Linked DNA regions of Struthio camelus. The protein of the gene in region 1 purifies or fractionates together with the protein of each later gene. This does not show direct contact. Links are inferred from orthologs where the notes say so. Each region holds a gene or a part of one and is shown on either strand. Other genes may lie near its edges.

Region 1 (9,406 bases):
AAGTATTTTCATAAAAACAAAGACTACAGAATCAGCTACTGAATATTTTTTCTGAGTTTTAAGATTCAATGCTGTATCTTCATACTAGGTATGGCTTTAATATTTCACAGATTTACATAAGTCAGACCTAGTTTACACGTACCAGATTTTAAAAAACCCACATACACAGGATATAGCATATTGTACTTGATTTCTCTTACGCGTTTTAAAAGATGTCTCCCATTCTCGAAAATGTGTGCCTTTAATTACATAGTTACAATTGCACTTCACTTCTAAGAAGTATGTACACTGACAACATTACAGGTGTTAGTTCCAATCTCACAATTCTACTGTGCAGCCTGTAATAATTGAGGCACTACATTCTTGTATGAACTACATTCACCAAGAATCCTTGTTTCTTGGTAGCGTGCCACCAAAAAGCAAGGAACTGACTTGCTGCTAGCTGGCAAGGTTAAAAATGTACAATTAGCAAACGAACAGTAAGTGAAAGAATCCAAAGCTTTAAGCGATAGTTTAACAATGGCTGCATAACTCTCACACTCCACCAAAAACTGTTAGAACAAATGTCCTACTGGGAATCTGAGGAAAGGAAGGAAATACGTGATTACAGCAGTAACAGTATTTTACACATAAGCACAAACTAGGAGTCTTGTTGTACAACTGCCTTTGTGACTAGTCCCATTTGAACAATCAATCACTGCCTTTGTGACTAGTCCCATTTGAACAATCAGTTACTGCAAAGACCAACAAAACTGCTGTGGAGACGATGCTTGCAGCTATGCTTTATTAGAAACGAAGTAAATAAAGGATGCCTGACCCCTAGTTACAGGCCTGATCTCATGATAAGCATCAAGGTCTCATAGATCCATTTTAAGAACTCTGTTGCACTTTTTCTTCCTACAAGCGGAAAAGTCTTTGAAGATTACACTCCAAAAAGGATTTTCAAAAATGGATTTGTGGGGTTCACAGTAGTTCTTACTGGTGGCTTTAAAATGTACTTAGAATAAGAGCAGAAAAAAAAAATTACTAAATAGTCTTAAAAAATAACCAAGGACAGAAAATACTGCTATGCTTTTCCCTGGATTGTGCACCATCACTAATATTTAACAAAAAAAAAAAAAAAAAGGCAGTTTAAATGATACCTTAGAGGTTAGGGGTACCCCACTTACAGCCTGCAAGAGCATGTGGTCTACCAGAACCATTCATTCACCTTGCAGCTCAATCCGGACTATTTTCAGTCACAAGAAGGGAAGCACAAACAAGCAAAACACAGTTTGTATCTTCCATTTTACAGCAGTTACCTGACTAGTTTAAAATTCCCTTTGGTGCCAGGAATATCTGTAGGGAACTCATCTGGGGTGCTACTTCCACAAGATCGGTAACACTCTGGTCGGGAACAGCTTGGGTCATCCAGCTTGTAAATCTGTAAGTATTTTTTAAAAATTAGAAGAAGTTTAATGAATCAAAAGCCTGTTACAAGCTTATGTCCAACGTCAAATACATTAGTAAGTCAAATTGAACATAAGTGCTAGGTTCATTGTAATGACTCACCTTGGCATTAGCATAACCCAGCTTGATTGTGATATTTCTTTCCAGTTCATTTTTAAATCTGACAGTATGAACTCCAGATATAGCTTTGACTACTGTCGACTTTCCATGGGCTACGTGGCCAATTGTACCTATGTTTTAAAAGCAAATGTGTGTGAGTAAACAGCTGTTTAATTTGTATAACGTTCCATTACACGGTATGCTACTGCCCCAAACCCTCTGGAGCCAGCAGGTCCAGAGCTCCCTTCAGAAGCACAAATGGATTCCTTCATCATTTTTGTTCAAACAAATAAAATCCTAAGATAAGCTCTAAACAGATAAATCTTTGCATTTTCATGTAACTCATTTTACTGTCCAATTTTAAGATACAATATTACTCCCCAATTACCCCCCAACCATCCTTCAATATAATATTCTTGCAAAAAACCACAGTGATTTTCAAGGTAAAAGGGTCTCACAAGTTTTCCGTTTCTTGATAACATTTAAAATGCAAACACTATGTCTAGGAACTATGTTTATATCTGTATTACTGTCTGCTTCAATAAGAACATTTTAAAAATTCTGTCACATAGGTACCATATGCTAATGCATGAGCACCAGAGTCACAGTAAGGCCCCCCTCTTTTTTAGACATTTATTTTTTACCTATATTAATTGTGGCTTGTCTGCTGATGACTTCTGGTGAGAGAGGTGTCAGCTTGGTAACATCCTGTATGAAGAAGACTTTACAATTTATTCACTTTGTATTTAAACGCTTAAAGAGTACTATGTGCGTCTTATTAAAAATTATTTATTAATTCTACGAAGCAAAATCCAACTAAGCTAATTAAAATAATTCTAGATATGAATTCTATTATTCTAAATATGTGAAGCAGGACACAAGGGAACAAAACCCTACAACCAATATAGGTCACAAAGCATTAAGGAAGGACGGAAGTAAAAATAAATAAATAATAAATAAATAAACAATACAACGAAAAAATGAATAAAAATAAATAATAAGTAAATAATAAATAAACAACAAAACAGAAAACTAAAACCAAAAGCAACTCCCCCAAAACTTGTCATACAAAACAGACAAATTCATATTAATTTTCCATGCGTGAAATGAGCAATTGTACTTCTGTTTTTAAAGTAAACGTTTATCACAAAAGGAATGGTCCATCACAATCAACATGTAAGTACAACTTACTGGTAGCATGTGTCAAATCAGAACACTTACAGATACATTCACTAGCGGGGAAAAAAAAAAAGAAAACAACCCTAACAACTCTAAGACAGCTTTTTTCTTTTAAGGCTATTTGTTCCAATACTGGATAAACATTGAAATCCACTGAAACGTTCTTCTGCGCTATTTCTGAGATTGTTCACAGTTAATTTCAAGGCCTGAAGGCCTGATCCTGCACCGAGTCCATGTGGGTGGGCTGCTGAGTTCAAGCAAAGATCCACAATGCCAGAACAGTTCTCAGTGCAGGACGTCACACAAATACTTTGTGAAGATGCATACAGTACACGTGCATACACACTAATTGGCACAGAATCATATACTGTCTACACTGTCATACAGACAGATTCTGTGCACAGTGATGAAATACAATCTTATGCAGTTAAGGCTAAGTTCAGGCCTATAATGAGCAAGTTCATTCTACCCATTACATTTTCATGAATTTCACTCATTGTATTTTAGCTTATTTTCAGGAATTACATGAACTTAGTATTCAGGTTCAACAGATAAACAAGTTTTGTTCATTTAACAGAGGCGCTTGAATATATACTTCTTGTACACCCAACTTAACATGACTAGATCTACTGAAGTCAGAAGGGGGGACGTGACCTGCAGACGGCACTATATAGTAGGATGACATGCATATACGCATGACGCAAAACCTGTCATCAACAGAGCTGCTCCCAGCACACAATTACGTACGTATGCATTTTTTTCCCTCAAGACTAGTATAAGGTTAAGTTTGGCTATAAGCTCCAGCCAAATGCGAGCACTCAACAGCCAAATGAAATTAATACAGGACAGGGCTTAAGCATAATTCATACTGACCTCCCAGTTAAGCACGTCTGCTCTTTTTCCAGTTGGCAAATACCAAGGCCAACCAGAAAAGGAAGCGAGTAAAGGAACCTTCTGAAACAATTAACATGCTTCACTCCTGAGTATCAACATGCTTACGTACAACACGGAGAAAACTCCTGTGCTCAGAAACGTTAACACTGTAAAGACAAAAATAACCCCTAATTTGCTGAAAACCAGGGAGACAGCAACCAGTGGGACTTCTGACTGGCTCTGCCTGCGTACATGAAGAAAGTGAGACAGCCGCGGCTAGGCATCTATTCGGCGAGCCGACCACAGCGAGAGACCCTCTGCGACTGATTTCCTGGTGGTCTTTGCGGAGCACACAAAGACCAACCCAGACGGCGCAGGCAAGCAAACTGCCTAGCCCCCTCGGAGAAGAGAAAACCAAAGCGCAATTCTCCTTCGGGCAAAGCAGCCTTTGAGGAGGAGGGCGCGGCACGTCCCCCACCGTCGCCACACGAAGGCCTCCCCTGCCGAGGGAGCCGGGAGGCAAGCCCACCGAGCTCCGCTCTCCTCTCACGGCTCCAGCGAGCCAGGGGCCCCATCCCGCCCGCCCCGCCCAGCCTGACCGGCTCCCGCGGCCGGCCCGGAGCGCCGCCCGGCCCCGCGCCCCCTCCCCGGCCCCGCCGCCCTGCCAGCCGGCGGCCCCCAACGGCCGCCCGGCCCGGGGGCGGGGGAGCCCGCATCCCTTCAGCCTCCGCGTGCCGGCGGCCCCGCCGCCCGCCGCCGCGCCCCCCTCACCAAGGTGGCGAGGTCCTGCCGGGAGAGGTGCGGCTGCCCCAGAGTCACTCCCGCCTCATCCCCCGCCATCTTTGCCCGAAGAGGAAGCGAGGAGCCCGCGGCGGCCGCCTGACCCCCGGCGGGGCTCGGCGCCGCCGCCGCCCGCGCCCCGCCCGCCGCCCGCCCGGCGGTACCGAGGCGCTCGGCTCGGGCCGCCGCCTCGCGGAGCGGCGCGGGGCCGCCGCCAGGCACGCCGCGGGGCGGGAGCGGCTCAGGCGCGCGGCGGGGCAGCCCCGGGAAGGACCCCGCGTCTGCCTCGCGCCGGGGTGATGCAACCGGGCCTGCGGCAGGCGCCGCTCCGCGTGCGCCAGCGCCGCGAGCCGGGCGGGGGCCGTGCGCGTGCGCGCGCGGGTGGCGGGCAGCGGGGCGGGGCCGCGGCGCGCGTGCGCAGTGCGCGCCCGCCGCCCCTCCCCCCCCCATCTTCAGGGAACGGTCGTGAGCCCGGGGCGACGGGGCCGTTGCGCGGGCGGAGGCGCTGAAGAGAGGGAGGGGGGATGGCGAGAGGTGAGCTCCTTCAGACGTACCGTCAGGGACGGTTTGTGCTTGGTCTTACACGCAGCCTCGCGTTCCTGTGGCAGTGACAAACGCCTCATAAATTAGCGTGTTTTAAGTATTTCTGTTGAAAAGGGGTTGTCTCTTGTCTTTAGAACTGCAGGCTGCCTGGGCCCCGCTGTTATTTTATATTATTGCGGTATGTAATACCTAAAATGTAGTCGCTTCGATGCTGTAATCAAGATGGGGGCTGGTTTTGCTGAGAGCTGTACCAAAAGAATGAGTTTCTTTCTGTGGTTATGGATGGCAGTGAGGATCAGCTTTTGTTGATGCATATGCAACAGCAAGAAAATGCAGGTTTATCTAGCACAGTAAATGGGCATGAGGCAGAAAAGAGGATAAGGGTGAAAATGACAACCAGATGTGTTTGTATGCACTAGAAAAGAGAACACCTAATTTGATGTCAGAGCATTTGTGTTTGTGTTTTTACGGTAAAATGTCACTATACAAATGTTAGTAATCTTTGCTGGCCATCTGCCTAACAAGATTTTGAATGTCAACCTTCTTCTTCTTGCTGTCTTTTGTAGGCTCAGTGCTTAGTGGTATAGAGAACATATGGACATAAGACCCTGCCCCAAGAATGAACAGCTCGAATCTTTCATACCAGACAACTAAAACCCCCACCACATGCATGCTGTTTTCAGATTTGGGCACAACATAAGTGCTTTAAAATTCAAATAAAATCCCTGGTGCAGTGATGACAGCCAGCTTGGAAGTTTAACAGAGACTATGAGATAACGGCCAAATTCCTAGCCCTTCCACTTGGAAACTCAAACTGTCTCCTTCATGGAAACCTCTTCTTACAGGCATAGAGGCTATTGCTCCTAGTAGGATTTCTTCTATGATCTCAGAGAAACAGGTTTCAATGTAAGTAACCGTTGTGTCAAATACATCCATGTTCATCAGCAGTGTCTTTGCCTACTGAAAAATGTGAAGGTACTCGGATATTGCCTGGCTAACTGGGTGACAAAAATAGGTTTGGAATACCCGACAACGTGACTGAAGTGTGATGATGGAAATCTGTACAAAACTGGTATGCCTGGCTTAAAAATGCTTGTAACCTCCCACTTTCACAAATCCTAATATTTCCATTTCTTTCCTGAAACAAGATTCAGACGTGAGTTTTACTCCAAAAAACCTAGAGCAAGTGCATTGGCAGCATTCTTGTTTTGAAGAAATGAATATGCGAATGTAGCAAGAAACCTTACAGTGGATGCAGTGATGTTGCCAGTGATAAACTCTGTTTTGTCCTGCAACACAATAGTTCTGCACAAATTGACCAAAAATGAATATAAATCTACTATAAATCCAAAATACATGAAATAAAAAACTATAAAATTATATACAAAATGTAAAATTAAAAAATTTGTATCTAGTCTTTTTCAGGCTAGATGATGTATTACAATTTTCAATAAATTATCCCACTTCTAGGAAAAAGAGTAGATGCTTATGACTGAGGTACACAAAGTATGATGGGAGCATGATGCAATACTTGGTTATAGTTGCCTGGACTTCTAGGCATGTATAATCACTGTTTTGTGAAAATGAGCTGAAAATACCAGGCTCTGTACTTATTTAGCTGTGTAAATTATACAACAGCACAGTGCAATATAAAATTATAGAAGCAGTTTTTGTCACATTTGCAATAGCCTTTATAAATGATTTAATCCTTGCCAAGAGATGTTAGGCATCTGAAAAAGTACACAAACCGTTTCTCCTACTTTAAAAATAAAATTATACATTTCACATATTCTGAGATGGTCTTACTTTGATTCACTCCATTTTTGAGTTCTCCTAATATGAAGAAAAAACCAGAAAAGTCTAAAGACTGGCAAATGTCTAATAAAACAGGATAAAACCTCACGTTTTTAGGAACTGTCAAGTGTATTACTCATACACCTATACATATAAAATAAATAAGGTTTAAAACTACACAAATGAAATGGCAACTAGTGTACTAATATAGCTCAAACACTCAAGTGCATAATTTTATGGTAATAGTCTCATTTATGTCAGTGGGAACTACTTAGCAACCGAGATTGTACAGATGCCTAAATGAGAGGTTTCCATCCAAATCTCCATTTGCATTAATGCTCATTAAGGTAATACTGACACCAGTGGTCGTTGGCTGGGGCTCAAAGTTAATAACGTTTTTAGTTAGGAGATTAAAATTGAGGCATTATTAACGCATTTTGATTTTTTCATTAGAAGCAAATTGTCTAATGTGAAGGAGAAGGAGGTTTGTTTTGTTGTGCTTTTTTATGTTGACAGTGAGTATGTCAAAGCTGTCAGGAGGCAGTTTGGCTTGGTTTGAGGTTGTCTTCTGTGGCAGTGTATGGGAGACCTAAAGATCGTCTTATACGTCGGCCGGCCACAAACTGCCAACAGCAAAATGACAGCTGAAACCAAAACAGTCCTGCTAGCTCTTTCCACCTTTAACTGACCTATGAAGGTGAAAAGTCTGAAGAGAGCAGAAAGTTGTTCATGTTGTATCATTTCTGTACAAAATATTTATTTCCTACTCCAATTTTTCTTTACTGAAGCATGAGTGTGCTATGAGTGGGTATGTGGTTGGAACAGCAGAGGACATATATCCTATGACTAAGGATGAGAATGTCTTTTCTCTGTAAGACTTAGAGGGCAGCAACAGTAGCTCTCTTGGAGAGAGTCAATAGATAAACGTTAGTTTGTTTAACCATAACTGCATTAGTAACAGGTTTTGAAGCAGTGACCGGGGAAACGGGGCAAATTTACTGCATGAGTTAGGGCACGAGATGGAATGGTATGAAGTTAGCTGAGTAGAGAGAGGTCAGGTTGTTGGTATGATGGAGTGAATGGGAGCCGGCTGATTGTAGTGTGGCCTAAGTAGGCCGTGAGGGAGCAGTAGGAGGTCAGTTAGCAGAGTGGGAATAGCAGTGGGAAGTCTTCTGTGAAGCAGTGCACGGCATAGCTGGTTGGTTGTGGAGCTATGAAAGGTGGGAAGGGCATTCAGATTGGGGGTGGCAGTTACAGAGCAGTTATGTTCTTGTGTCATAAATCAAGAATGGGATGGGGGTGGTAATGAGAGACTGAAAATAGATAGTGAAAGGGATGGGAACAGCAATAAACAGAGAGGATGGCAGCGTGTGGCCTGTTATTAAAGGCAGCAAGTGAGATAGAAGGTGATGGGAGAGGTACAGTAGCAGGTAGTGAATGGTTTGGGGGTGGCAGTGGCAGACCAATGGTCGACACAGTTTAGCGCGCTGTCATTACATGGGTGGGAAGTGTTGGCTGTTTTTCCTTCTTGCACTGAAGTCACTGATTGCTGGGCAAGGGCAAGCTGCAGAAAGCAAGGAGGTGAAGTTTGGGCTAGGGCAGAAACCTGCTCATCCCCTGCTGGGCCGCGGTTTCCTGTCAGCTACGCGCAGTTTGCTGCCCCAGGGCAGCTATGCTAGCAAGCAGGGCCTGTGGCTCTGGTGACCCGATTCTCACTGTGGCAAGAAGACAGCTGTAGGGTCAGCCCGCAGCACCCGAGGGTGGCCAGCTGTCAGGGGAGGGAGTTCAACAAGCTCCTGAAAGGGGTTGTCGTCGGTCGGGGCGCGTTTCTGTGCAACATCTTGTGCTGCTGCCCAAGAAAACGGAGAGGAGGAAAACTGATGATAAACGAGACCTCTGCAAAACCGGGACCGGGCTTGGAAACTGAAGGGCGGAACAAAACAACAAGCCTCAAAGGGACCAAAAGCATATAGATACTTGTGGAAGACTGTAGTAACAGGCCAAACATAACGATGCTTCTTGCTACTGCCTTCCCCATCCCCAGCCAGACGCGGCCGCCGCTGGCCTCTCGCGAGGGACTTTTCTTCCCCGGGGGGCGCCGGGTCTCCCCCGCGGCTGCCGGTGTCAGTCAGCGGGAGGGGCTCGGCGGCTGGCTGGCCGGCCCCGGAGAGTCCCGGGGATGTCGCCGGCGGCGGCCCGCGGTGCCGGGCGCGGCCCCCCGTTCCCGTTCCCGCCCCCGCCCCGGCGGGCCCGCAGGTGGCAGCGGAAGTGACGGCCGGCGCGGGGCGCCTGTCGCGGGGGAAGATGGCGCCTGCGGCCGCGCTAGGCAGCGCAGAAGGTAAACAAGCGTGAGCGGCGGGGGGCGGGGAGCGGCCCAGAGCGCCGGGGCCCGGGCGGCGCGGCGCGGCGCGGCGCGGCGGGGGGCGGCTCCCCACCTCCCCCCGAGCACCGACGGCGGGGAGGAGGGAGCCCAGGATCCCCCCTTCTTCCTCCTCCTCCTCCCGGCTCTGCCTCAGCCGTTGCCCCTCTCCTCAGCCCCCCGGCGCGTCCCTCCTCCTCCGCCGCCTCCGGCTTTATGTTACGCCGAGGCCCCCGTCCCTGCGGCTGCGGCGGGAGGAGCCGCGTCTCCAGCGCCGCTGCTGCCCAGAGGTAGGTGCCGCCGCCGGCCCGCGCCCCCTCGCCTCGTCCC
Region 2 (9,406 bases), on another chromosome or scaffold:
CCCGTGTCTGCAACCCCCTGTAACCCCCCCGCAGCCCTATCTGCACCCGCAGCCCTGCCTGCGCCCCCCCACAACCCCCGCTGCACCCGTGTCTGCACCCGTAGCCCTGCCTGCACCCCCCACACCCATGTCTGCACCCGTGTCTGCACCCATATCCTGCCTGAGCACCCCCTGCACCACTGCCTGCACCCCCAGCGGTGTCTGCACCCCCCCAGCCCCCATATCCTGCCTGCACCCGTCTCTGCACCCTACATGCAATCCTGCCTGCAGCCCCACGTGCCCCCACGTGCCCCCACAACCCCACTCGCACCCTGTCCCCCCCCCACAGCCACATCAGGCCATGGGGACAGGAAGGGACGTGAGGGGACAGGGACATGGAGGAATGGGAACGCAAGGGAATGAGGATGGGGGGGCTTGAGGGCATGGGGGGACACGGGGGGATATGGGGACATGGGGGGATGTGGGGCGATATAGGGACACGGGGGGACATGGAGGGAACAGGGATGGGGGGACATGGGATATGGGGACATGGGGGGAACGTGGACATGAGGGGACATGGGGGGATATGGGGACATGGGGGGAACATGGACATGGAGGGACACGGGGGGTCATGGGGAACATGGGGGGATATGGGGACACAGACTGATATGGGGGGACACGGAGGGAACAGGGATTGGGGACATGGGGGGAACATGGACATGGGGGACATGGGGGATAGGGGGACATGGAGGGATAAGGGGGGACACGGAGGGAACAGAGATGGGGGACACGGGAATGGGGACGTGGGAGCACGTGAGATATGGGGACATGGGGGGGATGTGGACACGGGGGGACACGGGGGGATATGAGGACATGGGGGGACGTGGGGAGATATCGGGACATGGGAGGGACACGGCAGGAACAGGGATAGGAGACATGGGGACAGGAGGGGAACGTGGACACGGGGCGACACGGAGGGAAGGGGACGAGGGGAGAGAGGGGGACAGCAGGAGGGTAACGGGGCGGCACGGTGACCCCCCCCCCAGGACCGGCGCTACGCCGAGCTCAAGCCCGGCGAGCTGCCCAGCTGCGAGAGCCTCAAGGACACCATCGCCCGGGCTCTGCCCTTCTGGAACGAGCACATCGTGCCCCAGATCAAGGCCGGCAAGCGGGTGCTCATCGCCGCGCACGGCAACAGCCTCCGCGGCATCGTCAAGCACCTCGAAGGTGGGTGCCAGCCACCCTGCCGGCGGCCCCCGCGGGTGCTGGGTCTCCGTTCCCCCTGCCGCTGAAGGTCAAGGCTATTTCCAGCTCCTCTGGCCTTTCCTCTTTCCCGGCCGGCTCAGGTTTCCCCCCTCCCCGAAGCCGGTTGGGTTGCGTTGGGTTGGGTCAGGTTGGGTTGGGTCGGGTTGCGTTGGGTTGGGTCAGGTTGGGTTGGGTCGGGTTGGGTTGGGTTGGGGGGGGGATCTGGGCGTCCCCACCGACCACCGGCTTGACGCGCACGTCCCTGTCCCCCAACGCCGCGCCGCAGGGATGTCGGACGCGGCCATCATGGAGCTCAACCTGCCCACGGGCATCCCCATCGTCTACGAGCTGGACGCGGCGCTGAAACCCACCAAGCCCATGCAGTTCCTGGGCGACGAGGAGACCGTGCGCAAGGCCATGGAGGCCGTGGCCGCCCAGGGCAAGGTCAAGAAGTGACCGCCCACGAGGGGTGCCCGTGGCCGTGTCCCTGTCCCCCTTTTTCCCCCTTCCCCCTCCCCAAAATAAAGGCTGGCTGGGCCCCACCGCGTCCCACTGTCTGGCTGCCGCTGGGGTGGGCCCACGCGGTGCTCCACTGCTGGGGGGGCTGGGGGAGGTCCCACTGGCTCTCTTGGGGGACTAGGGGGTCCCACTGGCACTATCGGGGGGTTAGGGGGTCCCACTAGGTCTCTTGGGGGGGCTGGAGGGGTCCCATTGGCACTATTGGGGTCTGGGGAGAATCCCACTGGCTCTCTTAGGGGGCTGGGGGGTCCCACTGGCACTATTGGGGGACTGGGGGGTCACACTGGGTCTCTTGGGGACCTGGGGGGGGCTCATTGGCATTATTGGGGGGCTGAGGGATCCCACTGGGTCTCTTAGGGGGGCTGGGGGGTCCCACTGGCACTATCGGGGGGTTAGGGGGTCTCACTAGGTATCTTGGGGGGCTTGGGGGTCCCATTGGCACTATTGGGGGGCTGGAGGGGGACCCATTGGCACTATTGGGGGGGTTGAGGGGGCTGGGGGAGGTCCCATTGGCACTATCAGGGGGCTGGGGGGGTCTCATTGCCATTATTGGGGGCTGGGGGGTCCCACTGGCTCTCTTGGTGGGTCTGGGGGGTCCCATTGCCTCTATTAGGGGCTGGAGGTCCCACTGGCTTTCTTGGGGGGGGCTGGGGGGTCCTATTGTCTCTCTTGTGGGCCTAGGGGGTCCCATTGGCATTATTGGGGGGTTGGGGGAGTCCTACTGGGTCTCTTGGGGGGACTGAGGGGTCCCATTGGCTCTACTGGGAGGCTAGGGGGTCCCACTGGCTCTCTTGGAGGGGCTGGGGGGGTCCCATTGGCTCTATTGAGGGGCTGGGGGGTCCCACTGGCACTATTGGGGGGCTGGGGGGGTCACATTGGGTCTCTTGGGGGCCTGGGGGGTCCCACTGGCACTATTGGGGGGCTGGCGGGGTCACGTTGGGTCTCTTGGGGGGCTGGGGGGTCCCACTGGCACTATTGGGGGGTTAGGGGGTCCCACTAGGTATCTTGGAGGCTGGGGGGGTCCCATTGGCACTATTGGGGGGCTGGGGGGGTCACATTGGGTCTCTTGGGGGGCTGGGGGGTCCCACTGGCACTATTGGGGGGTTAGGGGGTCCCACTACGTATCTTGGAGGCTGGGGGGGTCCCACTGGCACTATTGGGGGGCTGGGGGGGTCACATTGGGTCTCTTGGGGGGCTGGGGGGTCCCACTGGCACTATTGGGGGGCTGGGGGGGTCACATTGGGTCTCTTGGGGGCCTGGGGGGTCCCACTGGCACTATTGGGGGGCTGGCGGGGTCACGTTGGGTCTCTTGGGGGGCTGGGGGGTCCCACTGGCACTATCGGGGGGTTAGGGGGTCCCACTAGGTATCTTGGAGGCTGGGGGGGTCCCATTGGCACTATTGGGGGGCTGGGGGGGGCTCAGGCGGCACTGGGGGGGCTGGGGGGCTCCTGCGGCACTGTGGGGCAGGGCGGGGGGACCCCACGGGCACCGCGGGACCCCGAGGGGTCCATGGGGCCGGAGGAGGGGGGGGGCACTGACCCCTGGGGCCGGGGCCCCGTGGGAGGCGCTGGCCGGGCCTGTCCCCGGGGCACCCGGCACCGCCATTGCCGGCCACGGCGGGCGGCGGGAGGCCCTGGACGGCGGCGGGGGCTCCCGGCTCCCCGGGGGCTCCGCGGGGCGCCATGGGGCCGCGGGGATGGCGGCGGCGACCCCCGACCGCGCCCGCCCGACTGCCCACAACCAAGATGGCGCCTGCCGCCTCGCCTGCCGTCACGTGGGGCGGCGGCGGTCTAGCTCGGCCTCCGCGCTCGCTGCCTCGGAACCTTGCCGCGCGGAGCGGGAGGGCGGGGGGGGGAGAGGAGGGAACGGTTTCCGGACGGGCCGCTGAGGGCGGCGGGCCGCTGGCGGAAGCGCGGGGGGCGCTGTCGGGGGCGGACCGGAAGCGCCCGCCGGGCCCGGTTGCCGTGACAGCGGCGGCGGCGGCGGCGGCGGGGGGGGCGAAGGCCGGAGCCGCCATGGAGGCCGCGGCGGCGCTGACCGACATGTACGACCAAGCGCTGCTCGGCATCCTGCAGCACGTCGGCAACGTGGAGGAGTTCCTGCGCGTCCTCTTCGGCTTCCTCTACCGCAAGACCGACTTCTACCGCCTCCTGCTGCGGCCCGGCGACCGCCTGGGCTTCCCGCCCGGCGCCGCCCAGGCCATGGCCCTCCAGGTACCGGCGGGGCGGCCCCGGGCCTCGCCGCGGCCCCCCGCCCCGGCTCGGCGCCTGAGGGCCCCCGAGAGCGCCCCCCGCCGCGGCCCTGCCCTCCGAGCCGGCCCCGAGGCCTTGGAGGCCTCAGGGTGGCCGGTGGCCTCGGGAGGGTCGGCGGCCGGGCCGGGCTGTCGGGCAGGGAGGCCTGAAGGCCCCGTCGGTTGCTGTTGTCCTTCCCGTTGAGCTTTGCAGGCGTGTTTGCGGAGCGACGGTCCCCGCCGTCTTTGCAGGGGTGGATGTCTCACCCGGTGCTGGAGCCGGAGGGGAGAGGGTGGCTGCCTGGACCTGCCTTGTAGCAGCAGCCTGTGGGGCAAGACCCAGGAAGGTGGGGGACCCCGAGACCAGGAGGCCACACAGTAAAGCTCCAGCTTGCTGCTGCTGCCTAGTATGCTCCTTGCTGTTCCTCAGAGGAGCAGGGGCAAGGTGGGAGAGGTGTCCTGGCAGATTGATGGGGGAGTGGATGGCAAGGATCGCCCTTAACAAGAGGACAAGGAGCCCCAAAGGGCAGGCAGGGCCTGTGAGGCCTTCGCGGGAGGAGCTGGGGCCTGATGCCCTCTCGGAGCTCAGGCAGTGTCGAGGGCAACAGGCGAAGAAGGCAACTGCCAGCAGCACTTTGGGCAAGTGGGGTTCGCTTTAGGGCTCGCCAGATGCTGCTGACCCAAACTGCGGGAGCTGGGGCTCCTGGGTAGCAGGAAAAAGCGAGAAGAGACTGTGGATGTCACGTGGAGGGCAGGGCCTTTTTGCGTTGCTGGTAGCAGTCAGAGAGACGGCAAATGCTCCAAACTCTTGTTTCCACAGCTGAGCTGGGCTGGGCTTGGTATTTTGAAAACTGAGCGCTAGAGGTCTCTGACTCAAGGCTGTCGCAGTCTGTTATTAATCTTTATTAGGAAGGAGGAAAAGGGCTGAGAGAGATGGGGGCCTGGCTTGGTGGAGGTGTTCATCTGCTCAGACTAGGGCTTCTTCCCAGCTCTGGCAGCCCGTGGACACGAAGCGGTGGCAGACAGGCCGATGCGAGACCCCGTTCCCTCTCCCTGCGCCCACCCTGGGGTGGCCCACGGCGGGAGGGAGCCTGTGTCGCCGACCCCCCGGCTGGCGTGTCCCTGTCGCCCAGGGTTGCACCCTGCCGCGGGCCTTTGCCGCTTAGCTGTTGTGGTGGCTCTCACGTTTTCCCCAGGGACTGTTTTGGGCTTGTGTGCAAGGAGGGAGACCACAACGCTGTAACCTAAGTATTTCTCTCCCGAGAGAGATGTTATTTGAGGCTGCCGTTTGCTTGCTCCCTGGCCCTAGCCATGAGGGTCTGGAGTGAAGAGACTGCTCGAGGCATAGGGTGGTGTGGGGTGCTTCAGAGGGACTTTTTGTCCCCTCTCCTGGCTCGGGGCTTTGGCTGTAGCCCGAGGGGAAGGAGATGGGTTTGAGGTGTCACCCTGGGTGATCTGCCTCAGGCTGCTTTGAGCTTCGTTTTTGGTGGCGGGTCAGGGGAAACGGTCTATGAATAGCACGTTTGAGTCATGGCCTGGGATTCCTGTGGAGATGTAAGGTAATGCCGTGCCTTGACCTCTCTCGGGGAGGGCGATATCTCTCCGTTTGGGATATTTGCCCTTTAGACTGATCTTGGCTTCACCCGCTCCTGCCCGGGGTCTGGTCGCAGAGCAGCTGCCGCCCTCGGAGCAGCCGCGGGGCTATTTTCATCAGCTCGCTGCCAGGCTGAGCGGGCGCTGCCGGCGGGGTGGGCGCAGGAAAAAAAGGCTGTGAGCTCGAGAGAAGGAGCTGGGGGTGGGCACTGAGGAAAGCCGGGACACGGAGGAGTGGGGAAAAAGAAAGGGATCTCAAAGGGAGAGGAGTGGGACAAATGTCCATCTCCCTCCTCTCCCTTCTCTCGGGCTGCTTTGTCCCGCAGGCCTCTTCCCTGAGCAGGGAACAAGCTCTGGTTAAGGGGAATAAGGCAGACCCAATGTGACGCTGCGCGTGTCCTGCTGTAACAGCACTCGTGTGAGGCCTCCCCGCACTGCCCCCCCTTGCCTTACAAGTACCGAACACAGAGGAAGAAATCAGATCTGCCGGTGCTGCTGCACGCCCTGGCTGGCCTGGGTGTGCCTGGTCCCCGGCCTAGGATCGGTCTCCTGCGGGAAGCGGAAAGCGCTGAAGTCGGCTCGGAAGTGTTCCCCGGCAGTGTAGGGAAGGGAGCGAGGACTGTATTTGACTCTCGCTTGCTTTCTAGCCCAGGGCGGGTGTTTACCCTGACGAGTTGCACGGTTCTCTGTTGACTGGAAGGAGTTTTAGCTCTGAGGAGGAGGTGGGGGCACAGATCCATAGTCGTCGTACCTCCGTCGGCTTCGGCGCTGCTAGGCTGCTCTGTCCATGTGGCAGATTTGCCTTTTAACCTCCAGCCTGCCCTAGATGGTCACAGCGTCTGCTCTGAACGGCTAGAAGCAAACTTGAGGGTGGAATTATATCTTGTCATACCGTTGCTTCACCTCCCTAAGAAAGAGTGAAGTGTTGGAGTCTGGTACTGTTGCAGGGAGCAGGTGGGCTCAGTTCCCTCTGTGGACCAAACTGAGTTGGCTTATTCGGTTTTGAGGTGTGCTGTGCAAATGCCTGAAATCTGGGGTGAAGCAACAGGGCTCTGCTTTGATGTCCTTTCCCTTGACTCGTTCGGGAGAAAATGCTATCTCCTCGCTGGGGTCAGCTGGCTGGGCCTGGCTTGGGGAGCGACCTTCTTACCCGCCACACCGCTGAGTGGTGCGGAGGGATAGTTTTTCTCTGACAGAGTCCCTTTTTTTCTGCCTGAAAACCAGTCAGTCCTGGCTCAAAACCATGCACAAGGTCACTGTTCGTCTCACTCGTGCTGGCTAAACAAGAGCTCAGAGTCCGTTTGCTCTCAGCCAGCACCCTGCCCGCCCCAGGCTGGACCCTACCCTACCGGCTGTCATGTAGTTTATCCTGGGGGACCTCGTCCTGTTTATGCCTTGGATGTTGGGTTTGAGCTTTGGGCTTCCAAACAGCTCCTTAGTCAGTGCTGGAAGGCAAGATGAGGTGAGGGAAGGTGGGGAACTAGCCGGGAGTTCAGCCAGTATTGATGAGGGTGTGCAGAGCAGGCTGGGGAGGCGAGGGAAAGCTAGTTGCTTTTTGCTGGAATAACCAGCCCCCTTTCCTGTAGCAGAGGCTGATGTGAGTTTGGCTGCTGGAACAGACCCCAAGAAACGGTTTCAAAGCAGCTCCTAGGAATTTGGGCTTTCTCCAAAGATGTCAGGGTGTTTAATGGGGATGTGCGACTTTCAGAACGATCGGTGGCTGGTTTTGTTGGTGATTTAAGCAACTCAGACTTGGCAGGGGTAGGGAGTGGGGGGCACATGGATCCTGGAGAGGGAGGGACAGTGATATGTGCCCCGAGTACATGGCGAGTCTCCTTTCCATCTTCCCCAGCCTCTTAGCCAGAGCTTGGTGGCTTGACGATCTGCTCGGTTCGCTCTCTTTCAGGCATTCAAAGTCTTTGAGCGGATGGCCCGGCAGGACGACGAGAAGAGACGCCGGGAGCTGGAAGCGAAGCTAAGGAAGAAGGAGGAGGAGGAGGCTGCCGCAGCAGCGGAGAGGGTGAAAGCGTCCCCTGCAGCTCAGGAGATCGAGATGGAGTCGACAGCGGAACGCGTGCCGGCACCGGATGCTGGGGGAGCTGCGGGGCCTCGGGAGCTGGCAGCAGCCCAGGACGCAGCCCCGGCAGCACCCAGTTCTGCGTCGGCAGAACCGCCCCGGGCTGCTGCCCCGGCAGAGCCCCGGCCAGCAGAACTGCCCACGTAAGGGTCTCTCTTATGCTACTTCCTTCGTGCCCCTAGCAGGGGGGAGGCAGATGATGGGAGCAGTGCGATTGTGTTAGCTGTTCTGTCTTACAGCCCTTGTCCTTGGGGCAGAGGGGCGGTCACCCCTCCACGGGCACTCGGCTCTTCAGGAAGGTCTCGTGACTTTCCCTTGCGGGCCCCGCGGCTGGAGCAGCTGCGTAATTCCCCGTGGGAGGGCAGAGATCTGCTCCCCTACAGGTACCTTGTTTTTTTCCCCTCCTCTCTGAACAGAGAGGGTATCATGTCTCTGCGCGCAACCCCGCAGAGCAGTTTGTACGAGCTGCCAGCTGAGCCGGTCTGTGAGCCTCCCCCCAGCGCTGGCTGTGGTGAGCTGGATCTCTTTGCCGGTGCTCGGCGTAGTGCAGTTGAGCTGATGGTCCTGCCTGACCGTAGCAGCTCTGGGAAATCCTGGCACCGTCCCGTTACCCTTTTGCACAGCAATTCAGTGTTGGACTCCCCTGGCTCCCCTCTGTATCTGTGTCCTGATAGCATGCTGTGAGACGTCCTAGCAGCCAGGTAGGAGCTCACATAGATAATCGTAATACCGGTGAGTTGCTGTGGGCAGGCCCAGCTGGCAGCGAGGCCAGCAGTGTCGTCAAATACTTTTGGTTGGAAGAGACCTCTGGAGGTCTCGGGTCCAACCCTCTGCTCAGAGCAGGGCCGACTTTGAAGGTGGATCATGTGCTGTGACACATTTTCTCTTGAGCTATGTTCTTTGACCAGACTCGATTGCTTTCAAACTGGGCTAAATGGTTTGTTTTTAAAAGATGTCCTTGCTTCACAGTCCTCCTGGGGTGTCTGTGACTCTTCCACCTTGGGTCTGTGTGCTGACCAGGGGGACATTAGCTTTGGCTCGCCTTTATGAACTGCTTACCTGAGCGTGGGATCCTGTGCAGGTTTTTTCTGTTCCTTTATTATGTGTCATCTTAACCCCAGTGCTGGGGGGGGAAAAAAGCCATCTTGCCTTACTTAACTCAATGCTGTGCAATATGCTTCAAGCTCCTGTTTATCCTTGCTGCCTGAGTCAATATTTTGCTTCACCTGAGGGAGAGGATGCTGTGGACAGGCCTTGGCAGACCACGGTCTTCTCTTTCCTTCCCCAGTGTCTCTCCTGGTCAGAGCCACTAGTGATGGCCATGCCAAGAGCCTAGGCCCTAAGAACATCCTCTGAGTCCTGTATCGACACACACCAACTCCTTGTAGGGTGTCTCTGTGAGGCCTGTTCCCGTCCGAGGGATTAAACTGTTGCAGGCAAAGGATTATGGGCTCCTCGGGCAGAACTGGAGGGAGGGGAAAGCGAAGCGCCTGGCGCTGCAACGGAGGCAGCACTGTGCGCTCCCTGGCCCGTGCGGTGCTCCGATTCCCAGCACGCCCGGATGGCCCAGCAGCCTCCGCAGCGCAGCAGCTGGGGCTCCTCACGCGTCCTTCCGGCCCCTCGATGCATGTGAGGTGGGGCCTGAAGAGCCTTCAAAGCAGGGCCTTTGCGAGTGCATTTGCTGTGCCTCTAACACTGCTTTCCCGGTTGCGTGGGGGGGCTCTGCTCTAGTTCGTCCCTGCTGTTATCTGAGTGATCCTTGG

What was found.
Region 2: the proteins of KLHL15 (region 1) and NUDCD3 purify together in Homo sapiens (co-immunoprecipitation; 3 studies listed by BioGRID and IntAct, with this or other methods). This does not show direct contact. The link is inferred for Struthio camelus from reciprocal best matches to the Homo sapiens genes KLHL15 and NUDCD3.

What each region holds. Positions count from the first base shown.
Region 1 is NC_090942.1:135,260,749-135,270,154, forward strand, and holds the start of KLHL15 (kelch-like protein 15), read left to right. Parts: upstream 1-4,829; 5' UTR 4,830-4,914; intron 4,915-5,489; exon of another isoform or gene 5,490-5,829; intron 5,830-8,952; exon of another isoform or gene 8,953-9,055; intron 9,056-9,252; exon of another isoform or gene 9,253-9,366; intron 9,367-9,406. Other genes in the region: EIF2S3 (eukaryotic translation initiation factor 2 subunit 3), read right to left, coding at 1,302-1,423, 1,552-1,679, 2,193-2,256, 4,372-4,440. UniProt on the Homo sapiens protein: Substrate-specific adapter for CUL3 E3 ubiquitin-protein ligase complex.
Region 2 is NC_090968.1:1,537,687-1,547,092, forward strand, and holds the start of NUDCD3 (nudC domain-containing protein 3), read left to right. Parts: upstream 1-3,669; 5' UTR 3,670-3,758; coding exon 3,759-3,956; intron 3,957-6,858; exon of another isoform or gene 6,859-6,956; coding exon of another isoform or gene 6,957-7,028; intron 7,029-7,472; coding exon 7,473-7,786; intron 7,787-9,406. Other genes in the region: PGAM2 (phosphoglycerate mutase 2), read left to right, coding at 1,026-1,206, 1,511-1,680.